7 linked regions of the Macaca mulatta genome follow. The protein of the gene in region 7 interacts with the protein of the main gene of each other region in a pairwise test. Links are inferred from orthologs where the notes say so. Each region holds a gene or a part of one and is shown on either strand. Other genes may lie near its edges.

Region 1 (4,003 bases), on a different chromosome or scaffold from region 7:
TATCTCCAGCTACTACTTGGAAGCTATAAAGAGAAGTCAACACCTAACAAATTTAGTACTTAAATTCCTCCTTAGAGTAGAACAATGTGACTTATATCTGTAACAAATGGAAAGGCAGAAAGTACACTAAGGATGCCTATTTATAACTTCATGAAATGTAACTAATCTTTCTTCATTTTGTCTAATGGGGAGAAAGGAGACATGGGGAAGCAAGATAAAATTACAAAAGTCTTTGGTTTTCTTCAAGAGCTTACGATACCATGGCCAGGAGCGGTCATTCTCACCTGTAATCCCGGCACCCTCAAGGGAGGATCCCTTGAGCCTAGAGAAGTTTGAGACCAGTCTGGGCAAGTTAGGGTGACCCCAACACTAAAAAAAAATTTTTTTTTGATTAGCTATAGTGGCATACACCTGTGGTCCCAGCTACTCAAGAGGTTGAGGTGTGAGAATTGTTGGAGCCCGGGAGGTTGAGGCTACAGTAAGAGGTGATTGAGCCACTGCACTCTAGCCTGGGTGATATAGCAAGACCCTGTCTTTAAAAAAAAAGCTTATTATACCTCAGTAGCCTAAGCTTCTGAGGAAAGTTTTCTTAGTCCCTGGGTAGACCGTTTAAAATACAGACTGGATTCCTACTCAGAAACTTCTAATGGTCCTTCACTACAAATGGAATAAAATACTCAAACCACACCCCATAGAGGGACCCTCATCTGACCCAGAGGCCACAACAGAAACTCTGCAGTATTCCTCCCTTTGCAAGAACAATTCTTATCCTAGATCTTTACAAGGCAAGCTCTTCCTTATTTAGGTTTCCTATCAAGTGTACCTCCTTGGAGACCATCTCTACTCACCTGACATAAAGTATGCTCGTACCCCAGGTCATCCCAATGTCATTGTTAATGTATTTGTCTTCATGACACTTAATACTACTGGAAATGACCTTATTCTTTCATTTACTTGTTTGTTCTTTGTCACCCCTTCTAGAATGTAAGGTCTATGTTGAGAGTGAGGACTGCAGTTCAACACTATACTTCCCTAAATAGTGCCTTGAGTATGTAAGGCAGTCAATCATTTGCTGAATAAATAATGAACGAATCCTGATCTGGAGAAAGGAGGAGTTGTGTTACACAGGAACATTCTACTCAAGGACTGTGACTGTGACTAAGGATTGAAATAATCTGCTAGCAATAGATGATTAGCATAAACTTCAAACTAGGGCTGGGCGCAGTGGCTCCCGCCTGTAATCCCAGCACTGGGAGGCAGAGGTGGGCGGATCACTTGAGGCCAGGAGTTGAAGACCAGCCTGGGCAAAAAGGTGAAACCCCTGCCGCCCCCCGCCCCGCCCCCGTCTCTACAAAAATTAGCCCGGGGTGGTGGCGCATGCCTGTAGTCCCAGGTACTCAGGGGGCTGTGGTGGGAGAATCGCTTGAACCTGGGAGGCAGAGGTTGCAGTGAGCCAAGATCGCAACATTTCACTCCAGCCTGAATGACACGGTGAGAACCTGTCTCAAAAAAAAAAAAAAAAACTGAAACTAGGCTTTAGGCAGTTAACTTTTTAATAAAGACGTCATTTTATGTTTGGTGTTGAATGTTAGCTATTTTAACATAAAACTCTATTTCTTCCCTAAAGGAAAAAGCACCGTAATGTATCTACTGTTGATAAAATATACTCTTGTAACATGATTATTAAATATTATTAAAATATCATCATAGTAGTACTAAAAATTTGTTCCCTAAGAGTTCAACATTCTCTTGAGTCCTGAAGTTGTAAACTTAAGAGTAATGGGGAACAAAATTAGTACTTACTATGTACCTAATGAGTTCACATCACCCTAACAGAAAGTTGAAATATTATCCACATTTTACAAAAAAGGGAATCGAGACTCCCAAGTTAAAATTAAAATCTGGGCGTTTCCTAATGCTAATTTTCATCATGATATGTAAAAGTTATATCCATTGGTTTATCTTAAAAGCCTGAGTACAATAAAAAATCCAAACGTTCTGAGATATGCTTTGAGTACATTAATCAGGACTGAGTACTGCATCTGTCTTTGCTCCTCCTGGAAACAATACACACCTTATCTCCATCACATTACCTTTGGGACTGTTACGGCAGTCCCTCTTTTCATCAATAATACATAGTCTTCCAATGCTGGCCTCCTCAGCGTGAACTGCTTACCCAAGGAACTCCTCAGTATCTGGCCGGGAAACTTGCCCACGATCTTGCTGAACGGGACTGCCCCCCAGCTACTATTTAAGAGTCCAACTTTGTTCAATCTAAATAATTTCTTAAATTGTGTTTCTCTCTTCTCAGTCTCAGCTAAAATCAGTTCCCCAACCTGAAAGGGTCTCTGTCTGGAAGTTGAACAAGAAGGGGAGACGTGAGGCTCTTCGATCTCGGTAGCAGACTGGGCCTGCGAGAGCATCGAAGGATCCTCGGATATCTGGTGTGCCGGACCGCACCGGCCCTGGTCTCCACTCGAGTCCTCGCGCTCTCGAGGGGATGACTCTTCCCGCGGAGTAGGCAGTCTGAGGTTTTCCAGTGACGAAAGACATCCGGTCCCAATGTCCGAGATGCTCAGAGGGAGAGATGGGCAAGACTCTGCTCCTGGGGCTTTCCTTTGTGCCGCCTCGTGCTCTCTTTCTCCGTCTCGCAGGTCTCTAGGCGAGGACCTGCAACACAGTGACTGAGCTCCTTCGAAGGGCTCTTGCCCTAGGCCGCGCAAGAATGAATTGGTACCGAGTCCCTGCCGCAGGCAGAGCAAGACAGGACCGCTGCACCTTGCCATCAGCATGGTGTTTCGCGCAGGCGCCGTCGCAGACGAGTGACGCAACCTAGCGCGACCCCTCCTTTCCCTGTCGCGCGCATGGCGCAGCAGCCCGACGGCGCCCGCGTCGGAGGGGGCGGTGCGCTAGGTCAAGCAGTGGCGCCGGAGCAGCGGCGTTCTGGTTGAGTAACCATCAAGGAGTATGTCCTTGCGCGCGGGCGCCCGTTTTCCTTTTCGGAATGTGGGTAAATAATTTACCGCTGGCCGGGCGCGGTGGCTCAAGCCTGTAATCCCAGCACTTTGGGAGGCCAAGGCGGGCGGATCACCTGAGGTCCGGAGTTCGAGACCAGTCTGACCAACTGGAGAAACCACGTCTCTACTAAAAATACAAAATTAGGCAGGCGTGGTGGCACATGCCTGTAATCCCAGCTACTAGAGAGGCCGAGGCAGGAGAATCGCGTGAACCTGGGAGGCAGAGGTTGCGGTGAGCCGAGATCGCGCAGTTGGACTCCAGCCCGGGCAACAAGGGGAAACTCCGTCTCAAAATAAATAAATAAATAAATAAATAAATAAATAAATAAATAAATAAATTTACCGCTAGCAGACGTCCTCCAGGTTCGCTGGCGGTCAGGAAGATTGAGACAAAACTTACAGCGCTGTGCAAACTGAAATGCCAGGCTTAGCACGCTAGTGTCTTGAACACGGACATCACCTAGTCACCCCCAAGATATACGTATGAGTAGAGCTAATCCGGAGATGCATTTGACAAACGGCGTGGGACGCTCCAGTTGCTGATTGGCTCTCCTTTCCCAGTTGACTGCGACATCTCCCAGCCCCAAGTCCCTTTTGAAGGGGCTGTGACAGCCTGCCGGTCCCCTCACCCACCCCTCACGCCCGGAGAGTCCGAGAAGGTCGATTAGAGTACTCACTATGTGCTTATGTAACAGATGTTTTCATTATTAAAATATAACTAGTTTACCCTCCCAAAACTAAATAGAAGTGTCTTAAAATGGAAACAGGTATCTTTGGAGGCCAAAGTTATTTAACGTTAAATATCACTAGCCTCCCCGCATTTTGGGAAGCCGAGGCAAGCGGCTCATTTGAAGTCAGGAGTTCGGAACCAGCCTGGTCAACACGGTGAAACCCCGTCTCTACTAAAAATACAAAAATTAGCTGGGCGTGGTGGCACGCACCTGTAATCCCAGCTACTCGGGAGGCTGAGGCAGGAGAATCTCTTG
Region 2 (4,129 bases), on a different chromosome or scaffold from region 7:
TAGACCAGCCCCTTACTTTGACAGGCCTGTGACCAGTTATCAGTGTGGATCAAGAGTCACAGACCTGTCACCATTACTGGGCAAGCAAGCCAAAGTCCAGGACTTTGCTAAAAGGACAATTTACTCGGACAAGTCAGAGTCCAGGCAAACACTCGTATCTATACACTCCCAACAGCCAGACCAGCCTGGTAACTGTTTGGGGTTTTTCACTTCCTGTGTTGTATGTGTTGAACCTTCAATAGTGACTGTAAAGCAAACGAAGACGACCACCCCACTGTGCACTCGCAGGGGCAGCCTGCAAAAGAAGGAGTTAAAAAAAGAAAGAAGAAAGAAGCTCAAAACCTACCCTAAAAACATGAACAAAACCCTATTCTGTCATCACCATTATTCAACTAGGTCTATTATGCCTCTTATCATTGGCTTTGAAGAGATAACAGACATGTCTTGTTAATTAAAGAAAAGTCACAGGGATATTTGAAAAATAAGAACAGAAGAAGTATCCAGAAATGTCTAATTTGTGTCACATCTCTTGAAACCAGAGCCCCCAGATACTTTCATGGCCAACTTCCCAGAGACAGCCAGAAAACAAGGTCATCCTTGTTCCCCAAATCGCCACCCTCCTGCTCTAGGTTTGCTCTGTGGGTCTGTACCCAGGACAGGAACCACCATCTCTATGGTGGAGAAACGAAGTTACAACATGGTCTTTCAGATATGACCAGTCCTAAGCTCTCCAGTATACCCAGGGCTCATGAGGGACCAGTTTTGTACAAACTGCACCAATAGAATTATACCACAAGATGGTTATAAAATATTTAATATGCAAATAGCCAATGTAAACCAGGGAGTTATCCACCCAATACACATGTTCCATCAAACAGAAAATAAATATTGGCCAGACTCAATGGCATTCAGTTCAAGGCCAAAGAAACAGGCCACAAAGGGCAGACACTTAATAAAATTAACTGACAATTAAAACTGACAATGTGAGCAGCCTCCTTAGGAATTCCATCAGATGTCGCATCTGAGTCAACAGCCAAATGGCCTGATAAAAATGCCTTTCTATGGAGAGTTTCTACATTCTGTTCAGAGCTCTTCGAAGGCAGAATTAAAACACATATATATATTTCACCCACCCTGAATCCACACCTATTTTTAAAAAATAAAACAGTCTTTCCAAGACTACATAACTTCCGGTTGGTTTCTGGATGGTCTCTGTTCCTTGGCAGTTCCTCCCTTCTAATCTGTTCTACTATTCGCTTCATCTGGTTATAAGCTTTGTTCTTGTTATAAGCTTTGTGTTTTCCTCACCAATAGAAACTTCAGCTTTCAAAGGTGAGCTGCTAATTTTCTTGGAATTGTAAGATCAAGCAAGCTTCCTGGGATTGTTTTAGGTTATATGTAAGAACTGATGATGAACAAAACATGCCCTTCTCTTTCCCCTGAGCATGGGCTAAGAGGTTGCTACTCTGTGCTCAGAGATTGTTCAGACTGCCTGGGAGTTGAGGGGAGCAGGGACCAGATGGTGAGGCACCCTGAACTCATCTCCGGCCCCCGCGGGTCAACACTGTGCCTTCAGAAACTATTCCTGAAGGCGATTAGCGAGGGCCTTTTCTGATGCAAAGCGTCCATGCCTCTGGAGCTACTGCGCCCATCCCCGTAAAAATTTAAAATCGATTACTCCAAACTGTGGCAGAAGACATTTCCCGGAAGGCTGCATTCAAAAGTTAAAACCCCTGGTTTTATCAAATCAGTCTTTACTAACCTATGACGCTTCTGAAAACATTCTAAATCATCACCCCCATCCAACCACTCCCATCATCCTTGCCTCCAGCGCAGACGAAATAATTCCAGCCGATGGTCACACCTCCAATGTCACGCTAAACTAACTCACAGTAGAAAGAAACAAACGACCCCAACAGGGCGCCACAGTTGCTGAAGGGCAGGTCCTCTGTCGAACCCAAGAACCCCGAGACACGTGTGCGGCCCTTTATTCAGGCGTTTCTGGGCGCGCACTCGCGTCTCCCAGGCGCGCGCGCGCACACACACACACACACTCACACACACACGTACACGACACACACAGCTGAGGACTAACTTTCCTCTTCTTGCGGAGCACCCCATCCCCTGATATCGGCATCTGATCTTCCTAGTTCGGATCCCCGGAACACACTCCTCCTCCAGCCTGCCAGCCACACACGTGGGGAAGCGCGTCCAAGTGGTGCCAGGAGGCAGGAGGGAAGTGCAAAGGTGGGGAAGGCCCGGGACAAGGAAGGAGGGAGCTCTGAGTCGGATCTGGGATCTCAGATCCCTGGGGCAGCGTAGATGCAGGGTAAGCTTCTGGGACACGGAAAGGGAAAGGCAGCGGGGAAGGAACCCAGGGAAGGTTAAAGGGCGGGTGTGGGACGGAGGATTCAGGGTAGGGGTCGCTCACCTAGGGTTTTGACAGCGATCTGTCTGGTGAGAGGCGGCGGCAGGTTAATGCACACCAAGTCCACGTCCTGATGTAGCAGCACCTCATCAATGCGGCTAGTGTAGAAGGGGACACTCATCTCCTTGGCCAGCTCCTCCGCTTCTTCCTGCGTGCGGCCCCACAGCGCCTTCACCGCGAAGCCCTCGTCTTTTAGCAGCGGGATGATGACACGGGCCGTGAGGCTGGTGCCGAACACGCCCACCCCGGGAAGCATGGCTGCTCAGAGCCGCCTGGTTCTGCTTCTACTCGGATCTCCAGTCCAACACGCGCACACACCCACCTCCAGCTAGTCCTGCACCCGGCTCCTGCAGCCAATCTAGCCGCTGTGCGCCAGCCGCCGTGCACCGGGCAAGGCGCCCGGGTGCCCAGCGCGCACCGAGCTGCAGGCGGAGCAAGCTCGGGGCGCCTCAGTACGGTGACTGCGGCAGTGTCCGCCACGCGGGGCTTGCGTCCTTCCCGGAGTCGGCGACAGGGACCCCCCCAGGGCGCCGGAGGCTTCGAAGCCCCCTGGAGCCCCGGCTCAGGCGGCGTTCGGGCGGCAGCGCCAGTCCGCTGCGTGCGCCCAGCCAAGGCCGCTCCATGGCCGGCTCATCCCCGCGGCCGCGCCGCCGCAGCCCGGGACCGTCTCTCTCCCGCGTCGTTTGCGCAGCCGGCGAATCGCACACACAAACGTCTACACCCTGCCCCAGAGTCTGGGCACGGACCCGCTCCGCTGGGGAGTCTCCTTTATCCCTCGCCCTCCGCTCGGAATGAAATAATCCCGCGACCGCCAGGAGGCCGGCTAAGGATGCGGCCCGGAGCGCGCCGGACGGGGATCTCAAGCTGCAGCGCTGCAGCGGCTGCCACGACCCGGCGCCAGCCTCCTCATTTTGCTGCCATGTTCGCTCGCCTCGCGGCTCGGGCGGCCTCGGCCCCAGGCCGGCTCAGGCTCCGGGATCCCGCGGGGACGAGGGCGGAGTTGGCGAGTTTGGCTGTCAGCGGCCGGTGTTCCTGCACCGCCCTCACCGCAGCGCCGCGCGCCATTGGCCGCCGCGCGCCGCCCCCGCCCCCGCCGCCGCCAGCTCCGGGTGCGCGCTGCGCCGGGGCCCTGGGAGCCCAGCCCGGCTCCTCCCCGGCCCCGCCTCGCTCGCCTCCTGCCCCTCCGCTTCTTCCCTTTCTTTGCCCTCACCATCTTCTTCTCCTCCCTGCTTCACTCCAAACCCCGCCCCAAGCAAGCAAATAAATCTATCTAGGCAGGGCGCGCCCCAATAGGTTAGTCGCCTGTCCCTTGGAAGAGAGCAGTGGGCGCCTTGGCCTGGGGGCAGTGAGGGGACCCGGCGAGGTGCGAACAGCCGGTATTAACAACCTCGGTCCCCGGAGCGTTACCTGCGTGCTGAGCATCATACTGAAGCCTTTCCAGGCATTGTCCCTTTTAGTCCTCGCAGCAACCTAAGGTTATTGGAAACCCATTTTACCAGTGATGTAAATGAGTCCCAGTGAAGGCTAAGGGACTTGCGCAAGGTGACATATGTAAGCAACAGGCCTGCGATTGGAATCCAGGCCCCAGAGTCTGGGCATGGAACCGCAGACTTCTCCGGTCCCCTTCCAAGCTAGCCTGCTCCAATCGCGCGCCCCCGCTCCGGCCGCGCACGCACGGTTCAGCCGCCTTCTTCCCAGACA
Region 3 (4,047 bases), on a different chromosome or scaffold from region 7:
AGCTACCGAGTACAATTAAAAGAAAGAAAATATGTTCACAGAATTAGTGGAAATTTCCTTTAACTATGGAGTTCCGGAAATATGTGGGTGGCCTTGGTTCGAGATGAACGATGCCATCCTCTCAAAAAAAAAAAAAAAAAAAAAAAAAATACAGTTGCTCACTCATCAAAAGTTCTAACATGTTAATGTGGCTATTTCCACTACCATCACTGTATCTCCTAAGAATGCTGCAATTTCTCAGATAAGGCAAAAGTCAGTTTATCTGAGACAGCTTTCCTCCCTTTATACGAGTTCCTAGCATGCTTTAACTCTGTGTTTATGCCAGCATCTGTCAATTTCAGGTCTCATCTTCAGATCACTATGGAAGAAAAACTAAAGGCAACACACTGCCTTTATATGTGACTTGAAACCACTGCCAATTCAAAGGTTAACTTTTTCCAACTGTCAGAATTTATAACCAACTCACCTTGCAGCCGTTGAAGGAAAAAAGGGTTGAATATTTTTGCCATAAAGTTGACTGGATGGCATTCATTCAGTGAACATGAATGAAGAAGTTTCAATAATGTTTCAGGTGGAAAATAATCGAAATGAGTGAATAGCACATTTTCCAGCTTTCTAAATAAAGCAGAGGCATTTGGTGGCAAATAATTGAGTTTCCCAAATGGTTCCATTAATGCAGAAATCTGACTAGGTGAAAATTTTTCTGATTGGCAAACAAAAGTTTCTGCCACTGCATTGAGGATGGGTTTTGAAAGAATCCGTTTTCTACCGCAGTACTCCATGACTCCGCAGACAACTTCAGGATCCAACGTGAGGCACACCGCAGCTACACGATTCTCTAGGGCTTTTGTAAAAAATCTGTCATGGTACCCAAAATACATGAACGCCTCCAAGACTCTCCTAAGCTCCTCGTTAGTGAAATATGGGACATGTCTCACGACATATCTGCCCAATTTTATGATCAGAGGAAATGCTTGACTTTGATCAAGAACCACCAGGGCAGTGAGCATTTGGCTAATCAATTTAGGACTCAGGTTGGAAACTATTGAAGGGGAAAAGTTGTTTATCTTATTTAAAAATGTTTGGTGTTCATCCACTTTTTCAGCACATGCCTGCAAGATTCTATAAAGGGCCACAATATCCTCTGGGGTAAATGTTTCCAATTTTTCACCTTGCAGTTGATTTATAATCAGTTCTAGTGTCACACAACCCGAACTGTGCAGTCTAATCAGACTCTCCCCAAGAACACAAAGATTGGGAACTTCCAGGCCACCTTTTTTGAGACGATTTTGGCATTCTGCCACCAGGTTCAGTAACAGGCTACTTTGAGGATCCACATGCAACAGAATCAGAGCTTGCAAAGCAGTCACCAAAGTAGTGTTTGACAGCTGTGAGGGTTCCTTTTCCAACTGAAAGCATAAAGCTTGAAAGATGCTATTCTCCAGTATTTCTTTTGGCAACCCTTGATCACCATCCTTTTTTTCCACTTCACAAATTCGTTGTAAAGCTCCTGCTGCCATAGTGTCAGGCAGGGTTTCCATCGTGCTTATAAAACTTAGCACTTCTTCTGATGAAGTCAAGTTGCTCAGTCTCTTGTAAAACGTCTGACTCTCCCCATTTTTAACATTTTGTTCAAGCCTGACCCAGTCAGATATTTGAGAGAATACTGGCCCACTGAGTGGATGAAGGTCATTTCCATTTTTCGAATTAAACTTTTTACAATGGGCATGATGGAACCTGATCCTGAAAGGCTCAGGTTGTCGTGAACAGAACCAAGGGCACAGGCGCTCCTTGACTACCTTGTGAACACGATTTAGAGGTTGACTTTTCAAAGCAGCTCCATGCATCCGAAAATCAGATAAACGATAAAGGTTCTTCCTCAAGGTGATTAATGCCATGCCATCAGATTCTCAATTTGATAACTAAATTAAAACATTTAAAAAGACAAGGTTAAATACATTGAGAACATGATTGACCCAACATCAATGTTGAAACTACAAACGAGTACCAGGAAAAAAAAAAAAAAAGGATGGATAACATATAAACACCAGAGGAGCAAGGTCTCTGCATCCTAGAATTAGAAAAGTGGCTGACATCCAACAGTAACAATCGTTACTACTTGCTAAACACTTTCTATTAACTTACACAGATTAAGTACCTTTACCATCATTTTACATGAGGTAGAAGTTGAAGAGCAAAGTTACTTTGCCCAGTTTATGCAGGTGGTTAAGTGGCAGAGCTAAGGTTCAAACTCAGGCAATGTAGCTCTTAAGGGTGGCCCTTAAATGTTGGTTGAAGGAAGAAATTGCATTTGAATAGAAATCAAACAAAGAATAGGTAAAGTGGATGAAATTACGCGAGGTTAGAGCAAGGCAAGAGTAAAAACGCGCTGGAAAGGCCCTAAGCTGTTGGTTTCCCCTCGGTGTCAGGAGACAGGGTTGAGGGAAAGGGTCTACGTCGGCAATGGAAACAAAGTAGGAAAAGAAAAAGCACAACATAGACCAATGAAGGGAGAAGGTGTGGCGGCCGGTCCAGATCTAAAGACGCCGCGGGAGGATTTGGGAACACGAGTGTGCAGGACAGACAGGCGTGATGCCCCGGGGCGCGTCTTCCTAGGAATGAAAGGGACCCGCGGGCCGAGCACCCCCAAAACTCGGCGCCCCGGGGACCTGCGCTGAGACACGGGCAGGGTGGCGCAGCCTGAGGAGAAAGCCGATAAGGTCTGTGACACCCAGCCGGAGAGACCGCGTGGACACCTACCGCCCTCCGCCCGCCAATCACTCCGGGTGGCCGCGGAAGCGCCTGGGCGTCGTGGGCCACCGTAGTAAACGCGGGGCGGGGCAGGGCGGGGCGGGGCGGGAGCACGACTCACAGCCGCGCAATGTGATTGGTCCAGGTCCCCTTCGGAACTTCCTATTGGTCCTAGGTACGGAGCATGGGCACTACGGCAGTGCGCACGGGCGCAGCGTTGGTGGAAGTCGCGCTGTGCAGGTGTGTCTTCGGGTGGCGCGGCGCAGGTAAAAGCGCTGGTGGCTACGGTTTCCGGATTCCGGCCGCTGGCCCCGTACTAATCCCGAGGGAACGGCGGCCCGGGCCGGGGAGCGGGGGAGGCAGCCGGCTTGCGCCCATGGTTCCCACACCCCTCGAGCTCCGGGGGTCGCCGCGGGGGCGGGCTCGGCCTCGGGCTGGGGCTTGGCCTTGGCCTTGGTTTCCCCGGAAGCGCGTCCCGGAGATCGGCGTCGATCTCTGCGCGCGGGGGCTCCTGGGTGGTGTGGGGCCTCTCCGCCTGTTCTGCCTTTGGTTCCAGGCACTTTCTAGGACTAGGGAAACCGCACTCGGGGACGCGGGGAACGGGGGAACGTGTCGGGTTGGGGCGGCGCTCTCCGGGGAACCGGGGATTTTCCGAGAGCCCACCTGGCGGGACGCGGCAGTGAGCTCTGCCCACCGCCTCCGCGCCGCCCCTGGGGCTGCTGGGGCTCCGGCCTCCTTTGAGAGTAGTGGGAACGTGGTGCCGGGTTGTGGCGCAGTAGCAGGGCTGAGGGGTTGATTGATCCTGGGAAGTCCTCAGGATGTGTGTGTTTCATGGGAAGTGATAGAAATTTTAGCTGTAGTAAGATTTTCATCATCGTTTCCGCCGTTTTCTGTGAGCTGTAAACGTGTAGTGTTTTCATATTGTTCATTTACTCTTTCAGATAACTTGTCGAGTACCTGTTTTGTGCCAGGTGCCGTTCTGGGCGGTTCATTCACGAAAAGCCAATATTTTGGTTTGGGTTTCAGTTTAAATCTGTCTCCACAAATTGACAGCCCACCAGTTTTAGCCATTAGATGAGTAAGGAAAAAAAAATCTGTGAGTATCGTTTGTGTTACTGCTACTTATCTCTTCAGGAAAAACATGTGTTAGTAAAATGTTTTAAGTGGATTGGAAGTATTTTTTCTTTATATGCACCTGTATGTAATATGCCCATACACTCACGTATTTTTGATTTCCATTAAATACAAAAAAGGTAACTGATGTGCTTCAGTTACCTTTAGTACTATGATTAGTTT
Region 4 (4,244 bases), on a different chromosome or scaffold from region 7:
GCGATTCTCCTGCTTCAGCCCCCCAAGTAATTAGGGTTACAAGCATGTGCCACCATGCCCGGCTAATTTTGTACCTTTAGTAGAGATGGGTTTCACTACGTTGGCCAGGCTGGTCTCGAACTCCTGACCTCAGGTGATCCACACACCTCAGCCTCCCTCAGGACCCTGGGCCTGGAAACAAAAGTTTCTTTACCATAGTTAGCTTTAGTATGTGTAGATTTTTTTTCATTAGCTATTATTATTTGAGATGGAGTCTCGCAGTGTCGCCCAGGCTGGAGCAGTGGTGCAATCTCCACTCACTGCAACCTCCACCTCCCTGGTTCAAGCGATTCTCCTGCCTCAGCCTCCTGAGTAGCTGGGATTACAGGCACGCACCACCACGCCCAGCTACATATTTTTTTAAACTGCTGATTTCATCCTATTCTATTGAATTCTCCACCCATGAACCTATAGTTTGGAAAAGACTAATCTAGGGCAGGTGGCTCCCCCTGGAATTTCTGGACCAGGCTGCAGTTTATTTGTAAAGTGAAGTGGGGAGGGGAGGATCATGGGTACAGCTTTGCAGGCGGTGCAGACGTTTAGATTCTCCCTCCATCGGGTTAAGACCTTGCTCTCCTAAGGGCTGGCCAGAGTCCAGAGCATGGATGCTTCTGGTGAACAGGAGAGGCAGGTGGAGCTGAGCCTGAAGCTAAATAAACATCTGCTTATTAATTCATTTTTCTTGCCTGTCTGTGCCAGGCACTGTGCTAGGCCTCATTTGCTCTTCCGACCTCTTTTTTTTGGGAGGAAGAACAAATCTTCCGTTCGTACTCCCCAGAGTGGGAAAGGAAAGAGCCTCCCAGAGGTTGCGATCATACCCCACCATCTGACCTCAAATAATACCAGCAACGCTCCTCTCTCAAGCCCTGACTATGGCCAGGTGCTGGGCTGAGCTGTGTGTCCCATCACTGTGTCCTCACAAGAAATGTAGAGGGGCCTGTAATTTCCCCATTTTACAGGTGAGTTAACAGGCTGGGGAGGAGCAGGAACAGTCAGGACTGGAATCTAGCTCTGTTCCAAAGCCAGCTCTTAATTACCAACATGGGGGGGTGGTGGCGTGTTCCTGCCCCTCGTTTTTCTGGAGAGGGGTAACTCCCCCCATTTTGGCCCCCACATCCCTGAGAACCTTGGGGTCTGGCTGTAGGAGGTGGGGGAGCTCTGGGGGGTCTGCGCTGGCTAGTTCCTGAGATCGTTAAAAGTAGATTCTCCTTTCGCTCCAACTTTCCCGGTGTCTCACACACTCCTGCCTTCTCCTGGGCCCACTGGGCCCACCGCCACCCAACCCGGGAACCCCCGGAGGCTCGCCAGCTCTCCAGAATGGGAATTTCTTGACGTTCCCTGCCTGAGCTTCGGGGAGGGCGGGGGAGTGCCGTAAGGGGCTATCGCGCAAGTGTAGACCCTCTGCTTCTGCCGCAAACGGCGGGCCTCACCTGGACCAGGGGACTCTCCAACGAGGGGCGCTAGTCTGGCCCGACTGGGCGAATCCCCGCGTCCGTACCCGTTCCGTCGCTCAGTTCCACGACTCGCTCCCCTGCCGCCCCGCCTGTTCGCGGGTGGGTGGGCGCTTCCCTCGGCTTCCCGTGACACTTTGCAGACGCTCCCCGGCGCCGGGCATGGGCGCCGCCGCCGTCGGTCCCCGAGTCGGATTCCGCGCGCGGGTGGGTGAGCGCGGGGGGCCTCGGCCCCTCGGACCCCGGGCACCCGCGGGCGGGGGATGGTGACCGTATTTGCACCCCCGCCCTGATGCATTCCCCCGCTGGGATCTTTCCACGACTGCTCCCCCTCCCACCCCCGGGACAAAGGGCGGGGGCGGCGCATCCCCACGCGTGACCTTTCCCCGTACTGCGCACGCGCCCAGCCCCCACCACCGGGGGAGGGTCCGCACGCCCACGCGAGTGCGGGGGAGGGGTGTGGGGCCCCGGAGGTAGGGGAGGCAGCGCGCACGGGCTGGACCTCCTCCTACCCTGGGAAGTTGGGGCAGTTTCCCTCTGCACCTGCCTCTTCCTTAGGCCTGGCGGTGGCCCGCGATGAGAGTCCTTCCCCTTCAGGCCAGGTGTCCCTGTCAGGCGACCCCTTGGGGCACCCAGCAATTTAGGGCTTCAGCTTCCTTTTCCTTCGATACCCAGGAGCCCACGTCCCCAGCTCACTTCTCCCCTAGGACCTCGGTGGCTGGGCCCCCTGTCCCTGACTCTGGGAACCCAGGAGTTTGAAGCCCAGGCGTGTTTTGCCTCAGTCCTGGGGTCTGGGCTCCCTCCTCCCTCAGACCAGGGATCCAGGCCAGAAGGTCCTTCCTGTCTCACTTCACCTCCCCCAGGATGGACCCTCGAGTCCATCCGCGTCCCTCCATTTGTGGCTGCTGTTTCTGTCCAGTGCCCCTGAGGCCCTCGGCTGCTGGGGTCCGCAGGAAGCCACGCCATGAATGACCGGAGCAGCCGGAGGCGAACAAGTGAGGAAGCTGGGTCCCCTTCCCTACCCTGGGTCCCGGTGCGGTCGGTCGGCTCCAGGCTGCCGTGGTTGGGGGGTGGTCTGAGGGGCCCGGGACTTCTCTGGGGTGACCCGGGGCCTCTCCTCTCCAGTGAAGGACGATGAGACCTTCGAGATCTCCATCCCCTTCGACGAGGCGCCCCACCTAGACTCACAGATCTTTTACAGTCTGAGCCCCTCTCGGGGAAACTTCGAGGGTGAGCCGAGGGGGCGTGGAGGGACTGGAGTCAGCTGGGAAGCCAGGCCGAGTCCCAGGGTGTGACCTGGTCCCCCCACCCTCGCTGTGTCCCTAGAGCCTCCGGAGGCTGCGTCCCCCGCCCTGGCTTTGATGAACAGCGTCAAGGCCCAGCTGCACATGGCTCTGGAGAGGAACTCCTGGCTGCAGAAGCGCATCGAGGACCTGGAGGAAGAGAGGGACTTCCTGCGGTGCCAGCTGGACAAATTCATCTCTTCTGCTCGGATGGAGGCAGGTATGTGTGGGGTGCTCTGATCCACCTGCCTCCCTGTCCCGCTACTGGGTACCCGCTCACCCAGACTCGAGGCTCCACAGTTTGCCTGGCTGGGTGGGACCTGCCATGTTGGCCCTCTCTGCTAGTCCCCTGCCTGTTTTGGGCCCCCAGGCCCAGCTTCCTCTTCACTTGATGTCCAGGACCTCATCCCCATGAACTGTCTACTGGGGCCTGTCCTCCTGCTTTTTCCTTCAGCTCCCCAAATCCCATCAGCCTCCAGTGCCCTGCCATCTGCTTCCTTGGCCTATGGTGACTTCAGGACCCTGGAACCTGAGAGTCCCTCTCTTCTGACTCCTAGGGGGACCTTCCTTCATCTCTTTGGCCGAGAGGCCCACCCTAGTCCTTTGGGTTTCCTCAGGGGGCCCCTGATCCTCTTCCTGGCCCTGTCTTCTCCAAGATCCAAGAGTCCAGCCATCCAGCCTCCTCCTGTCCCCCCCCGTCCCCGTGTGACACCAGGGGCCATCTTCCCACCCACCCTGTCCCATCCTTGGTTAATGAGTTCTCCTTCCTCATGAAAGACATTAAGGCTCTTCCTGTGTGGGCCTTTTTGGGTGGGGACCCCAGCAGGTGCTGTTCCTCAAACCCTGCCCCAGGTTCCTGGGCAGTCCCCGCCCACATACCTTGCTCTGCTATAATTCATGGCCAGAAGCAGCCGGGAGAGCTCCCATAGCAGCCCCCAGCCCCAGCCAGTTCACAGCTAGCATCTTCTCTTGACTGGTGGGACCCTGTGTCCTGCTTAACACATTTTGGACCCCAGCCGCATCCTCTTCCCCAGATGGTCAGGCCCTTTGCCAGACAGCCCATGTCCTGGAGAACCCACACTTTACCCCACCTACCCTCAGCTCGGCCTTGCTAGCTCCTTGGCTGAGAAGACCCCTCAAAAACTCCCACATCTCTCTTTGTGAATTCAACCTTTTCCCTCAAAAACTTGGGCAAGGGGCCTATGGTCTCGTGGTGTCTGTTACTGGGAACCCAGCATCTGGGGATCTGGCCTTCCCTCTGCTCTGGAACAAACCGCCTCTGACTGCCCTTGCCTGCCACTGTCTCCTCCCACTGATGGCTCCATGCTGGGTGACTGACTCCTTTGCACAGATGGTTTGGTCCTGCGGCCTCGGCACTTTCCCAGTGGGGACCCTGGCACCAGACCCCTCTCCTAAGCCGCCTTCTAGAGGACCCTGTGTCTGGGCCTCCGCCAGCCAGCTCCCTCTGTCT
Region 5 (4,282 bases), on a different chromosome or scaffold from region 7:
CACGTGACTCGCACAAGTCAGGGGGCCTCTCCGAGCCTCGGTTTCCTCTTCTTTAGTGGAAAGGCTACTCTATACGTCAAAGGGGTGCTGTTAGGGTGGGACAGGACACTGACTCTGCAAATACTTGCGTGCGGTCCAGTTGAAAATTAAAATGCACCCTTTCTGTGAAGATAATTGGGTGATTGTCAAGACATAGTGGTACCCAGCAGGCACCAGGTACTGTCCTGGCAGGTACAGCAGGGCACAAAACAACAAAATATACTCTCATAGGGCTTACATGAAAAAGTGCTTTAGAATGTTTAGGATAGAGTGATACTTTTTCATGATAATCCATGACCATTTTCGGAATATGGGGAAGCATTTCCTAGACATGTGGTGGTCAAAAGAGGCCATTTATGAAACCAAAGTGAACAGAGACAAGGCCACCTCATGCCCCTGCTGAAAAACAGCCTTCCCAGCCTTCTCAAAGCCCAGGTGCAAGATGAGTGTCAAGGAACCGAGAGAAACCAAAGAAGATGAAAGAGGTACCCTGACGTTCCCAGGCATGCGGTCTTTCTGGCATTGGGTCTCCTGGGTTCCCATGTTTGACACTGATGGAAGAGAACCAATTCATATCAGAAAGAAAGAGGAAGAAAGAAAACCCATGCATTCTAAACAGAGGTTGGCAAACTAAGCTTCGCAGATCAAAACCAGCCCCGCAGCCTGTTTTGCTACAGCCCTTGAGCAAAGAATGATTTGTACGAGTTTAAAAGGTTGGGGAAAAAAAAAAAAAAAAAAAAGATGACTGCCTCTTGACTCGGGCAAAGTATACAAAATTCAAATTTTGGTGCCTGCAAATAAAGTTTTATTGGAACACAGCCACACCCACTCATTTACTACTGTCTATAGCAGTTTTGGTGCTATAGTCAGAGTGGAATAGTTGTGACAGAGACCATGTGAGCCTCCAAGAGAAAAAAAGTACTATCTGGCACTTCACAGGACAAAAAAAGTTTAACACCTTGTTCTAGAAGGAAAACCAACATCTCTGCTCATTGTCATATGAGATGCTTAACATATCTCGCACCGACCCCCCTTGAGATCCCACCTTGACCCCTAAGCGGCTGTGTGGCCTTGGGCAAGTCACTTAATTTCTCTCTGCTGAAGGCGGCCATTAAGAACCCCAGGAGCCAGTAAATATGTTCATTTCTCACTAAATTGCGCACTCAGAGGGGCAGGAACTGCGCTGTTTTCATCACTGCATCCCCAGTGCCAGCACTTAGTAGGCGGTCGCCCAAGTGTGTGTTGGGTGACTATTGAATAGCCCCTGGACAACATTCAGCACACAGTGGGTGGACAGTAATGTGACCTTCAATGAACTTGAAAAGAGAAACTGGCGATTCCACGAAAGGGAAGCCAATCCGGGGAATCGAAGGCAGGAGACGAATGGAAGAGGCTCCGCCAGGTGACACAGCACAGAGTTCCCGACAGGCTGAAGCGTCTGAGGACACGATACGTGAGCCAGAGGGGAATGGGAGGACCAGCAGCACCCCCAGCTGTGGCTGAGGGGACAAGATGTGAGCCAAGATGCACCCTGGACGTGGAAGTCTGTAAGCTTCTCTGCCCAGCTCAGAGGAGCCAGCACCAGAAGCAAGCAACTCAACGGGTCTCACTGCGAGTCTGCCTGCTTGACCTTGGCGCTGACCTGCGGTCACTTCCCTTCTTGCAGAGGAGAAAGGTCTTTTCATCAAGAAGCCCGGCCCACCCCTCCGCCCCCTCTCCCCAAAAAAGGCTGCTTAGAAATTATTTCAGAATTAATTCAGCCCAAGGATTCTTGGGGGACATTTCTTCAAGGTGAAGAGGGTCCACATCTCCCAGATCCCAATGCAGCGGACTAAAGTAACAGCCTCCTTTTTCTCCACCTGCGCGCCTCTGGCCTCCGGGTGTCCCCCACCCCTCAGCACCCAGTGCCCGGGAGAGACGACGTCCTTGTCCCTCCTGGTCGGAACAGCTGCCTCAGGCTCGGTCTGCCGGCCAATTAGCCGGAGCCGTCACCACGGCAACGGCAGCTGACGGGCCGGGCTGCCGGCTCGCCCCGGGCAGCCCTCCCCACGGCCCCTCCCCTGGGGTGGGGTGCCAAGGAGAGGGAGGGGCGGGGGGGAAGAAAAGTCCGCCCCACCCCCCATTCCCTCCCCAAGAGGCAAGGGTGCGCTTTGCAGAGTCCACATAGGACCCTCCATCCCGGGGTTTGGGGGTCCCCAGTCTCTCCTCCCGGGGCTCACCCCTGTTGCTGCAAGGGTTGCCCGCGCACGGGCATCCTTTTTCTCGAAGCAAGTTTGTGGGAGCTTAGCCGTGGGCCCTCCCTTCCGCGCGCTCCCAGCCGGAGGGGGCGCAGCACCCCCTACCCGCACCCCGGACCTTGCCCCCAGCCTCAGCCCTACCTGGATGTACGCCATTTTCGCCCGCGCGCACTCACTCCGGCCCGGGCATGGCGCCGCCACGGCCACTTTGCCCTCGCCAACAGCGGAGGGGGAAGAAAGCAAAGGGGGAAAGGAAGAAAAAAGCAGCCGGTGGCCCCAGACGTGACTGGAGTGGCTGATGAGCGGCGCCCGCCCCTCCGCCGGCCGCCCCGTCCTTGCCTTTCCCTGCGTTCCGGCTCTCGGAATCGGGGCCGCCTCCCCGGTTCGGAGAGATGGGTTGCCCAGGGCCCCCGCCTCGGTCTCCCTCGCTGTCCCGTGCTCCCCCCCGAGGTGCTCCCCAGGCTGGAATAAGGCCCGGGCGCCTGGGCAAGGAGCCCGGGGCAGCCGCGGGGACTGCAGCGACCCCAGCGCAGGCGGGGCCGGAGACGCTGGGGCCCGAGCGCGCGGGAGGCGGGGGAGGGGATGGGGATGGAGAAGGGGGTGGGAGGGGGCGGTACACAGGTCAGCCCATCCTGCTGGAAAGGGGGCTGGCACCTACCGAAAGCAGGGCCCCCGGGGCAGCCGTGGAGCGGAGGGGACACAGTGCAGCCTGCCATGAAGTCTGCAGCAGGGAAGGTCCTCCCTATCCAGCCCTCTCCCCAAACTGGGTTGGAAAAACTTTATTCCCGCCCCACCCGACGCGCCTAGCACGGTTGCGGTGAGGATCGCAGAGGTTGCTTGGATGGGAGCCTCAAGTTAAGGTGGGCATAGGGCGTCCCAAACGGAGGTGCTGTGTCCAGGGCTTCAGGGGGCGCGCGGAGAGAGCGGAGCGCCCCTTTACTCTAAACCTGCCGGAGTTGCGCCCTGGACGCAACAGGTCTAGTGCAGGGCGGCCCGGCAGCGCCACCCAGCGTCGTGCCCGGCCTCGTGTGCTCCTCTGCCCACTGGCTGCCGGCCGCCAGTGAGCGTGCGCCCCGGGGCGTGTCCACCGCTGCCCTCCTGCCTGACCTCGTGGCTGGGGCGCCCTGGACCCACAGGCCTCCATCAAACCTCCCAGTCCAAGGCCTCTGGCTCTCCACTCAGAGATTCGAGGTGGTACATTGCCCTCCTCTGGATTTATTTTTTTATTTTATTTTATTTTATTTTATTTTATTTTATTTTATTTTAGACACAGAGTGTCACTCTGTCACACAGGCTGTAGTGCGGTGTGGGGTAATCTTGGCTCGCTGCAACCTGCGCCTCCCAGGTTCAAGGAATTCTCGTGCCTCAGCCTCCCGAGTAGCTGGGACTACAGGCGCCCGCCACCAAGCCCGCTAGATTTTGTATTTTTCGTAGAGAAAGGGTTTCACCATATGGGCCAGCCTGGCCTCGAACTCCTGGCCTCAAGTGATCTGCCTGCCTCGGCCTCTCAAAATGCTGGGATTACGGGCGTGAGCCACTGTGCGGGCCGGATTTCTTTTTAATATGCCCAGTCATCTCCTGTTGCTGGGCAGCAGCTTATCAGCCTGTTAATTTTAACCTCCCAGTGCCTCTTTTTCCTCAGTAAAAACAGGAGAAAATCTCCACCCTGCCTATCCTCCAGGGCTGTTTTGTGGGAATAAATGAGAAAATGAATATGGAAGTAACAAACAAAAGATGGATATTCAGATGCATATATTTTTTGTCTAAAAATCTAGCAGGCCTATACATTTTTTAGTATGATATATTTAGTTTGTAGCATATAGCACGTAACGCATATTGAGTGCTTATGATTCTGCAGGCATACACGCCTCAACACTTCACAAGCATTATTTCATTTCAACCTGCAGTACCTTGATCACTCCTATCAGCTAGCACTCTGTCCAGCCAGAGTAGGCACTGAATAATTGTTTTTGTTGCCCTTATTCACTCTGCTTCCTGAGGGAGGT
Region 6 (4,274 bases), on a different chromosome or scaffold from region 7:
AGAGAATCTGCACAAATAGACGAATGTATACGCATGCAAGAATGTTTATAGTAGTATAGTTTGTAATAGCATATGATTGTTATTTCCCAAATGTCCCTCAACACTAGAGTGAATACATATATTTGAGACATTATATTCATATGATGGAACACTACATAGCAATACAATGAACTTGGTTATATGTATCAAGATGCATGAATCTCAAAAGCATGATGTTGAACTGATGCAGCAGGACACGGAATACAGGGAGAAGCCCTAGAATTGGTAATATTCTATTTCCTATGCTGGTGGCTGGGTTCACAGAGCTACATTCTATTGTAATTCTTTAAATATTACATATATGTAGGGTACATTCTTTCGTGTGTCTATGTCACAATAAAAGGTGTCAATGCAACAAAAAATGGGAAAATGGATTCGGTTGTTGAAATCATGAATATCATCAACAGGACCACTGTGAACAAAAATAAGGGCTGTAATGTTATACAAATGGTTATTTGCAACTTGGGATAAAGTTTACAGTGTCTTCATCATACATGGATTCAAAAGGTGATGTAATGAAGGTGGCGTGCTCAGGAAAACTGTGTCAGACAACTCAAAAAGGGGCTCTGGTAATGACAAAGGCAATGATATTGAAGATACCAAAAGAGGGATTCTTAACATATTTTCCTGAAATTACAGTGAAAAAAGCACTTTTAAATTAACATTTTATATGTGATTTTAACTACGTATGCATGACTGATTAATCTAGTTTCATAATACAAGTCGCCATTTATTTCCTCTACCTTTATAATACTGCATATATATTCAAATTGGCCAAAATCTTTCTTTCCAATCATCATGCTGGGATTATGGGGTTATATGTGGCACATACCATTCCTGTATGTCAGGATGGAAAGGGTTTTTACCTGGAATGAATTTTTGCCATTTCTGATCCACATTGTACTTCACACAGTGATTTCCTGAAGGAAATATAATGATCTGTTCATCGAAGTAGAAGATATTGTTGGCCACGTGGGATCGAAGACCAAAAACATGCAGCGTCTGAGCTACCACGGCCGACATGATCTCCCGCCAAAGAGTTCTGCTGAACCACCAAGGCGGTGTTTCAGAGTGGAGAGCGTTGCCCTGCTCCGCCCCGACCCCGCCCCCGGCCCAGACACGCCCCGCCCAGCATCTAGGACACGCCCTCCCCGCTCCTTGCCCCTCCCCTTCCCCCTCCCCTTTCCCCTCCCCCGGGGTCCTCCTGCGCGCCACCGCATCCCCGCGTCTCCTTTTTCTGCCTTTTCCTTTGTACCCTCACTGCTACCAGCTCCTTCTGGCGACCCCCAGGTACCCGCTCCCACCTTTCACTTCTCTCTGGGTCAGCAGACCACGCATGTATCCACAGGCACTACCTGTGCGGATCCTAAGCAACCCGGGCACTTTCAAACGCCGTAGCGGTTCCTATAGCAACGACAAACCGGAAGTATGGTTTGCCGCCGGAAGCGGAAGCCCAATCAAAAGTTTAGCAGTAGCTGTGAGTTGCTGGCCCTGGTGCGACTCTGTGGCACGTGGAGCCACGGCCTGGGACTAGGGGGCTGAAGGCAGGCAGCGGCGGCCAGGGCCGCCCTCTGCTAGCCGCTTGGGTCTCGGGATACCCCGCTTCTTCTTGTAGGTGTGGGACGTGCGTGCGGCGAGATGGACACTCCTCCGCTCTCGGATTCGGAGTCGGAATCCGATGAATCTCTTGTCACAGACAGAGAGGTAAGTCTCAGCAGAGCTCGCGGGGCTGGGCATGGGAGAGGGGGTCTTACACCCCTGGGAGTGACCGTGATTGTGTCCTGCAGTTGCAGGATGCGTTTTCCCGAGGGCTTCTGAAGCCAGGCCTCAATGTCGTGCTAGAGGGGCCGAAGAAGGCCGTGAACGACGCGGTGAGCGCGGGCACAGGGTCGGGGGTACTCGGACTTGGGATGCGCACCAGCCGCTGTTGGGCTTGGGAGACCGATTCTTGTCCCAGGAAAGATGCACCCTGAGCCTTGCCAAGAGGGTCTATTACCTGTCTGCGTATTGGGGATTAGCGCTTTGTCCCTTTGCCTAACAGCCTGTGCTTGGGAAGAACAAACTCAGAGTCCCCTTCTTATGAGCTCAGTGTCTGGATTTCCTAGAATGGCCTGAAGCAATGTTTGGCAGAATTCAAGCGGGATCTGGAATGGGTTGAAAGACTCGATGTGACACTGGGTCCGGTGCCAGAAATCGGTGGATCTGAGGCGCCAACACCTCAGAACAAGGACCAGAAAGCTGTTGATCCAGAAGACGACTTCCAGCGAGAGATGAGTTTGTATGTTTTCAAATGTTGGAGAAGTTGAGGATCCTTGTGCAGGAGAGTGGGAAAGGGGAAATTAGTAAGCCTGCACTCAGAATAAGCTTAGGGGTAGGGAGAGCAGCTTCTTTTGACTAAGAGTAGCTAGGAGATTCTCGCTGTTTGAGAGGAGAGCTCCTTGGTCCACAGTCACGATTCAAAGTCCAGTTTAGGGACTAATTTGAAATATTCATGTTAAAGCTTTTTGTGCATGCTTCAGTTAAAAAAAAAAACAACAAAAAAAACCTTGCTTATGGGATGTTCTTGTGTGGAATTGCTTTAGTAATTACGTAAGAATCCATAATCGACATTAGTTTGTGTTAATGGGTACCTTTAGAGTAGTCATTCTCTTAAAACTATTTTTAGCAATACCCCTCCCCTTTTTAAAAACTGGTATATGTCTACATTTCTTTTAGATACTAAATCAGTGAGGTTTGGTGACAGTTTTTGTTTGTTCTTGCTAATGGAGGTCAGATTTTGAGAGTCCTTCTGAGCTTGGATAACTCATGAGAGGCAGTGAAAAGGAACGTAAGGCCTCTCTCCTTCACCTCATTACACATTTTGTCCCACAATTCTCAGCTACCGCCAAGCCCAGGCCGCAGTGCTTGCAGTCTTACCCCGCCTCCATCAGCTCAAAGTCCCTACCAAGCGACCCGCTGATTATTTTGCAGAAATGGCCAAGTCTGATCTGCAGATGCAGAAGGTAAGAAATAGAAATATTCCTCTGGAAAGCCAAAATTTTGTACTTAAGCATATTCAGCTGGCTTAGAAAGATAGCTGTGAGCCCAATAATGGGGAGCCAGTTGTCAGAGGACAATTATTACCTCTTCCATAGATTGACTACTTCAGAGTCATGCCAGTTACCACCAATTAGATGCATATGACATTTTTTCTAAAATCAGCAATTAAGGAGAGGAACAGTGCTGTGAGAAGTGTAGTCCTTGAGGTGAAGATGGCCCATTGCATTTCCTAGCTGGCTTGGTCATGGCATGGTGTGCAGAGAAGACAGCATTCTTGTGCCCTTGCCACTGGTAGTGCTAGAACTTGTAGACAATTACTTTTCTCTGGGCCTCAGTTTTCTCCTCTATAAAATGAGGGATTCTCAGATGGTTCAGATACAGTACAATTTAGAGTTGGGTAGAACTTGGACCTCATTTAACTTTGAAGGAGGGGATTGCCAGCATGTAACCAAGATATACTCAGCCCTCCATAGCCATGGGTTCAGCATCTGTGGATTCAGCCAACCTCAGATCAAAAATATTTGAGAAAAAAATTTGAAAATGTTGGAAAAAGAAAACTTGAATTTGCCATGTGCTGAGAACATTGAATCTGTGAGAATGACATGATGCGTAGCATTGAATTCAGTATTATAAGTAATCTAGAGACTATTTAAAGCAGTGGTCTGGCAACAGGGACCGGTTTCGTGGATGACAATTTTTTCATGAACTGGGGGAGGGGATAGTTCCGGGATGAAACTGTTCCACCTCAGATCATCAGGCATTAGATTCTCATAAGGAGCACACAACCTAAATCCTTTGCATGCTTTCACAGTAGAGTTCGGGCTCCTATGAGAATTTAATGCAGCCGCTGATCTGACAGGAGGTGGAGCTCAGGTGGTAACGCTCGCTTGCCTGCCACTCACTTCCTGCTGTGTGGCCTGGTTCCTAACAGGCCACAGATTCATAGCAGGTTCATGGCAGTCTGTGGCCCAGGAGTTGAGGTCCCCTGACTTTATACTGGAGGCGAGTGTAGGTTATATGCAAACGCTACACCATTTTTATATAAGGGACTTGAGCATCTGTGGATTTTGATGTCTGTAGTGGGTCCTAGAACTTATCCTCTATGGATACTGAGGAATGAGTATATTTAAATAGTATCCTGGGGTCTCAAACTGGATTTTAGGGAGCTTTTGTCATGGTAGTAGTTCACCTTCTCA
Region 7 (3,927 bases):
CAAACTTTTTTGAAAATATGGTCCCTATAACAGTGCAACTAATATTTCACACAGCAATATAAAGTTTATGAGTTTTTGGATCCAATTACATGTTTCTCACTAGATAGAAAAGTTGTCCTTTTGTACTACACAGTTTATTACTGGAATAATAATGGAAAATGATTTTAGAGAATTCAATTTTCTCTTGTACTTCAAATAAAACAAAATCAGAAAGCTGTGACAATAGAATAGCTAAATTAAGAACATGAAAAACTCATATTAAAAACTCTGAGTACATATGGACAGGAAGAAGGGACCAACAGACAACTGGGCCTACTTGAGAGTGGAGGGTAGGAGGAGGGTGAGGATCAAAAACCACCCATCAGGTACTATGCTTATAACCTGGGTGACAAAATAATCTGTATACCAAAACCCTGTGACATGCAATTTATCTATATAACACACCTGCACATGTACCCCCAAACTTAAAGTGAAAGCTTAAAAAAAACCTGATATATGACTTAATCTGCGTACACTAAAAGGAACGAATAGAGCTGTTTCTCCTCCAATGTCCTCTAATATTCTCCAAACAATTAAATTTCCACGTGTATGAAAGAAAAGCCATCCATCTCGCTTCACCATTATTAGAAGCATTCTCACATTCCACATCAACAATCAAAGAGGTAAGAAAAATTTATCAAACAGATTACATTAAATACGTATGTTAAATGCTACATATGATAAGCCATTTAAGACAGTCTTGTCATCCACTGATTCATATAACTTACTGCAACAGTTGCATGATTGAAAACAATTTTCATAAACGACAGATAACTCCTAAAATATACCTGCAGTATCTTCTGGCTTCTTGGTATTAGCCCTGTAAAAAAAGTTACATCAAAATTTTAGCATAATACTACACAAAATGCCATGTTTGTTGGGAAAAGAAATGTCTTATGTGAAATGTTCTGCACAGAATAGAACAGTGATGACATGGTCCAAAGGTGACTTTTCCTAAAAGACCCTATCCCACAGGCAAAAGTGACTTAAACACTTTACCCCGTGTGCTCGTCTTTTTCAGCAAAAGGTTCTCTTTCCCCATGCTCATCAGTTACATCTTCCTCCCTTGTTTCTGTAAAAGGGTTTCTTTCCTCACATTCGTCACTGACTGGATCCTTTCCTGCATTAAAATTTAAAAGACAAACCTTTTTTAGAGGAAGACACTGTTGTGGACTTTTTTTGTGGAGAAATGTACTTGTTGTAGACTTTTTTTTTTTTTTTTTTTTTGGCTATCTGCCAATTAAGGCTTTAAAGCAGAGCTGTACATGGAATCACCGGCTTCTGACCATTTTATCAAGGCACTTTTGGAAGCCCTTCGGGTTCAAGTCCCAGTAAACAACATACTACACGTCAGACCCCTTGGATGTCATGACTGCACTCATGGAGAAGAGCTGCTCTGGGAGCATCTGTAACCCCGCTATGAGGGGAGCCTTTCACGGGAAGCCTAAGGCCCTTGAGCCTGCTTTGAAAACCTGGGGCATCTTAGCACGTGCACGATGGACTCCAAAGCCACGAAGGGGCCCGGGTCCTTGGGCTACCCCTGTGCCCCCAGCGCAGAAAGCAGACAGACCGTCCTCTTGGGCGTGCACTTTCTTCCGGGTCACCTTGGGCTGTATTTACCTGCACGCTCCTTCCCCTGGGCCGCCATAAATTGAGCCTCCAACTGGGCCTTGGCAGCCCTCCTGCCCACAGGATCCGTGGCTGGCTGTCCTGGGAAGCTACAGGTGATCCCTGAACCTGATGAGGGCAAAGGCACACTAAGGAAGCAAAGGAACCCTGGCATCGGAAAGGAAAGCCATTGGGATCACAGGTTCAAGAAGGGTGGGGCTGGCACGCCCTGGGTCTCCTGTGGGAGCAGGAGGGGACCGAAAAGATGCCAGTGTCCCCTCCTGTCCTGGCCCGTCCAGCCCGTCCAGCCCGTCCCCGGGGCTGGCTGCAGAGCTCACAGCTGCCCCTCACACCTGAACTCCACGGCGTCTGCGGGATCCTCGCCGCACCTTTGGGACAGAACTCAGCCCTACCTCTGGGTCCCCCAGCGACCCCGTGTGGCTGGGAGGGCCACCGGGTGACACAGGATCTCCCCAGCCACCTCCAGAGGAATGTCAGGGGCTGCACTGTCACTCACCCGCCTGGATGCACAGGGGACCCCTGATGACCCCAAGTGTCCTGTCCTGACGGGAGGCCGGGCAGGAGGGCCCCACTCAGACTGTCCCCAACAACACCCTCGCCCCACCCCCACTTCCCCCCACCTTCCGCACCTCCCCCCAACACATGCACAAGCCCTCCTGGGCCCTAGGGATCACCCAGGCGGCTCCAGCTCCCTCCCTGCCCTGGCCCACCCCAGCCCACCCTCAGGGCCTCGCCCTGACCCAGGCCCCAGGCGACCACGCCAGGGGCATTTCCTCACAGGTCAGCGGGCGGCCCAGCGCTTCACACCCTGGTTCCCAGAGGGCCTCGTGCCTGCGTTTCCGCCTCCCCACCGCGAGCGCTTCACCTGAGGGACCCCTGATGTGGCGCCCTCAAAGAACCTGCAGACAACAGCACCACTAGGATCTCTTAGAAAACGGGTCCTCTCAGGAGGCTGAGGCAGGATGATTGCTTGACCCCGGGAGGCGGAAGTTGCAGTGAGCCCAGATCGCGCGGCTGCACTGCAGCCTGGGCGGCAAGAGCCAGACTGTCTCAAAAAACAAAAAACAAAAAACAAAAAACAAAAAAGAAAACAAGTACTCAGTTCTCGTGAGAGCTGCCGACAGCACTTCCTACGCTCCTCGCAGATTGGTCGACTCAGTGCACATGCGTGTGACAGGCCGTGTGGGGCCACGCCCCCTGCTGGCACGCCCTCCCCCTTCCCCTAAGTGACAGCAAGTGGTTGCTGTGGACTGAGGTGGGGTTGGCCCTTTGGGGCCTCTGTTCCCACATTCTTTCAGCTTCTGCTCCTGGGGAGGGACACAGGACTTGGTATGGAGGCCAAGTGGACAGGGCCTAGAACCTCGCCCTGGGGCTCTTTCCAGCCACCCCTGCCCCTTTGGCTAGAATGGCCATCATCCTATGGGTTGGGCCCAGGCTCCCTCCCATGCCCTGTGTGCTTCCAACATGCCCAGCTGCATCCTTTTCAATCAATGGATTGTGCTTTTATCGTTTTTGTTTGTTTTTGAGACTGTGTCTCACTCTATCGCCTAGGCTGGAGTGCAGCAGGGTGATCTCAGCTCACTGCAACCTCGGCTTCCCGGGTTCAAGTGATTCTCCTGCCTCAGCCTCCCAAGGAGCTGGAATTACAGGAGCCCAACACCAAGCCCTGCTAATTTTTTTTTTTTTTTTTTTTAGTAGAGACGAGGTTTCACCATGTTGTCCAGGCTGGTGTCGGACTCCTGACCTCAGTTGATCTGCACGCCTTGGCCTCCCAAAGTGCTAGGATTACAGGCATGAGCCACCGTGCCCTGCCCATAACCATTTTTGTTTCCTCACTACTTTTCTTTCTCATCCTCATGCCCCAGACTTGCCCACAAACCCTCATGCTCCAGACTTATGCAGACATATGCCACAACCTTCACCCACAAATTAATGCCTTAATACTTATCGTTAACTCAGCTTTTTCCCACCTCCAGTCGCCTATAATAGGGGGAGAGTTGTTTTGGAGTTAGGAGTAAATAAATATTGCCTAAAGTTTGTAAATCAAGATATAGAGTTTCATTATATTATTGAAATTATATCCCAGCACTTTGGGAGGCTGAGACGGGCAGATCACAAGGTCAGGAGATCGAGACCATCCTGACTAACACGGTGAAACCCTGGCGACAGAGCGAGACTCCACCTCAAAAAAAAAGAAAAGAAAAGAAATTATAAAGGCAGTCATCAGGAAAACTAATCCACAGCCTTAAATGTCTATAT

Evidence for each region.
Region 1: the proteins of FAM9B (region 7) and TRMT61B interact in binary tests that used the Homo sapiens proteins (3 or more experiments, as listed by UniProt). The two-hybrid records come from large-scale screens. The link is inferred for Macaca mulatta from reciprocal best matches to the Homo sapiens genes FAM9B and TRMT61B.
Region 2: the proteins of FAM9B (region 7) and GFOD1 interact in binary tests that used the Homo sapiens proteins (3 or more experiments, as listed by UniProt). The two-hybrid records come from large-scale screens. The link is inferred for Macaca mulatta from reciprocal best matches to the Homo sapiens genes FAM9B and GFOD1.
Region 3: the proteins of FAM9B (region 7) and FASTKD3 interact in binary tests that used the Homo sapiens proteins (3 or more experiments, as listed by UniProt). The two-hybrid records come from large-scale screens. The link is inferred for Macaca mulatta from reciprocal best matches to the Homo sapiens genes FAM9B and FASTKD3.
Region 4: the proteins of FAM9B (region 7) and CCDC106 interact in binary tests that used the Homo sapiens proteins (3 or more experiments, as listed by UniProt). The two-hybrid records come from large-scale screens. The link is inferred for Macaca mulatta from reciprocal best matches to the Homo sapiens genes FAM9B and CCDC106.
Region 5: the proteins of FAM9B (region 7) and SYT17 interact in binary tests that used the Homo sapiens proteins (3 or more experiments, as listed by UniProt). The two-hybrid records come from large-scale screens. The link is inferred for Macaca mulatta from reciprocal best matches to the Homo sapiens genes FAM9B and SYT17.
Region 6: the proteins of FAM9B (region 7) and EBNA1BP2 interact in binary tests that used the Homo sapiens proteins (3 or more experiments, as listed by UniProt). The two-hybrid records come from large-scale screens. The link is inferred for Macaca mulatta from reciprocal best matches to the Homo sapiens genes FAM9B and EBNA1BP2.

Annotation. Positions count from the first base shown.
Region 1 is NC_133418.1:96,103,817-96,107,819, reverse strand, and holds the start of TRMT61B (tRNA (adenine(58)-N(1))-methyltransferase, mitochondrial), read right to left. Parts: upstream 2,801-4,003; 5' UTR 2,793-2,800; coding exon 2,094-2,792; intron 1-2,093.
Region 2 is NC_133409.1:169,624,751-169,628,879, reverse strand, and holds the start of GFOD1 (glucose-fructose oxidoreductase domain-containing protein 1), read right to left. Parts: upstream 2,801-4,129; 5' UTR 2,685-2,800; coding exon 2,432-2,684; intron 1-2,431.
Region 3 is NC_133411.1:8,930,441-8,934,487, forward strand, and holds the start of FASTKD3 (FAST kinase domain-containing protein 3, mitochondrial), read right to left. Parts: upstream 2,801-4,047; 5' UTR 2,761-2,800; intron 1,923-2,760; 5' UTR 1,899-1,922; coding exon 467-1,898; intron 1-466. UniProt on the Homo sapiens protein: Required for normal mitochondrial respiration. Increases steady-state levels and half-lives of a subset of mature mitochondrial mRNAs MT-ND2, MT-ND3, MT-CYTB, MT-CO2, and MT-ATP8/6.
Region 4 is NC_133424.1:67,997,172-68,001,415, forward strand, and holds the start of CCDC106 (coiled-coil domain-containing protein 106), read left to right. Parts: upstream 1-1,444; 5' UTR 1,445-1,697; exon of another isoform or gene 1,698-2,353; 5' UTR 2,354-2,454; coding exon 2,455-2,485; intron 2,486-2,615; coding exon 2,616-2,720; intron 2,721-2,816; coding exon 2,817-2,993; intron 2,994-4,244. UniProt on the Homo sapiens protein: Promotes the degradation of p53/TP53 protein and inhibits its transactivity.
Region 5 is NC_133425.1:19,195,347-19,199,628, reverse strand, and holds the start of SYT17 (synaptotagmin-17), read right to left. Parts: upstream 2,801-4,282; 5' UTR 2,433-2,800; coding exon 2,418-2,432; exon of another isoform or gene 2,407-2,417; intron 1-2,406. UniProt on the Homo sapiens protein: Plays a role in dendrite formation by melanocytes.
Region 6 is NC_133406.1:197,485,695-197,489,968, forward strand, and holds the start of EBNA1BP2 (putative rRNA-processing protein EBP2), read left to right. Parts: upstream 1-1,474; 5' UTR 1,475-1,516; intron 1,517-1,654; 5' UTR 1,655-1,677; coding exon 1,678-1,743; intron 1,744-1,826; coding exon 1,827-1,910; intron 1,911-2,144; coding exon 2,145-2,317; intron 2,318-2,917; coding exon 2,918-3,041; intron 3,042-4,274. Other genes in the region: CFAP57 (cilia- and flagella-associated protein 57), read right to left, coding at 906-1,062. UniProt on the Homo sapiens protein: Required for the processing of the 27S pre-rRNA.
Region 7 is NC_133426.1:8,568,769-8,572,695, forward strand, and holds the start of FAM9B (protein FAM9B), read right to left. Parts: upstream 2,801-3,927; 5' UTR 2,534-2,800; intron 1,777-2,533; 5' UTR 1,688-1,776; coding exon 1,660-1,687; intron 1,160-1,659; coding exon 1,039-1,159; intron 860-1,038; coding exon 828-859; intron 1-827. UniProt on the Homo sapiens protein: May play a role in meiosis.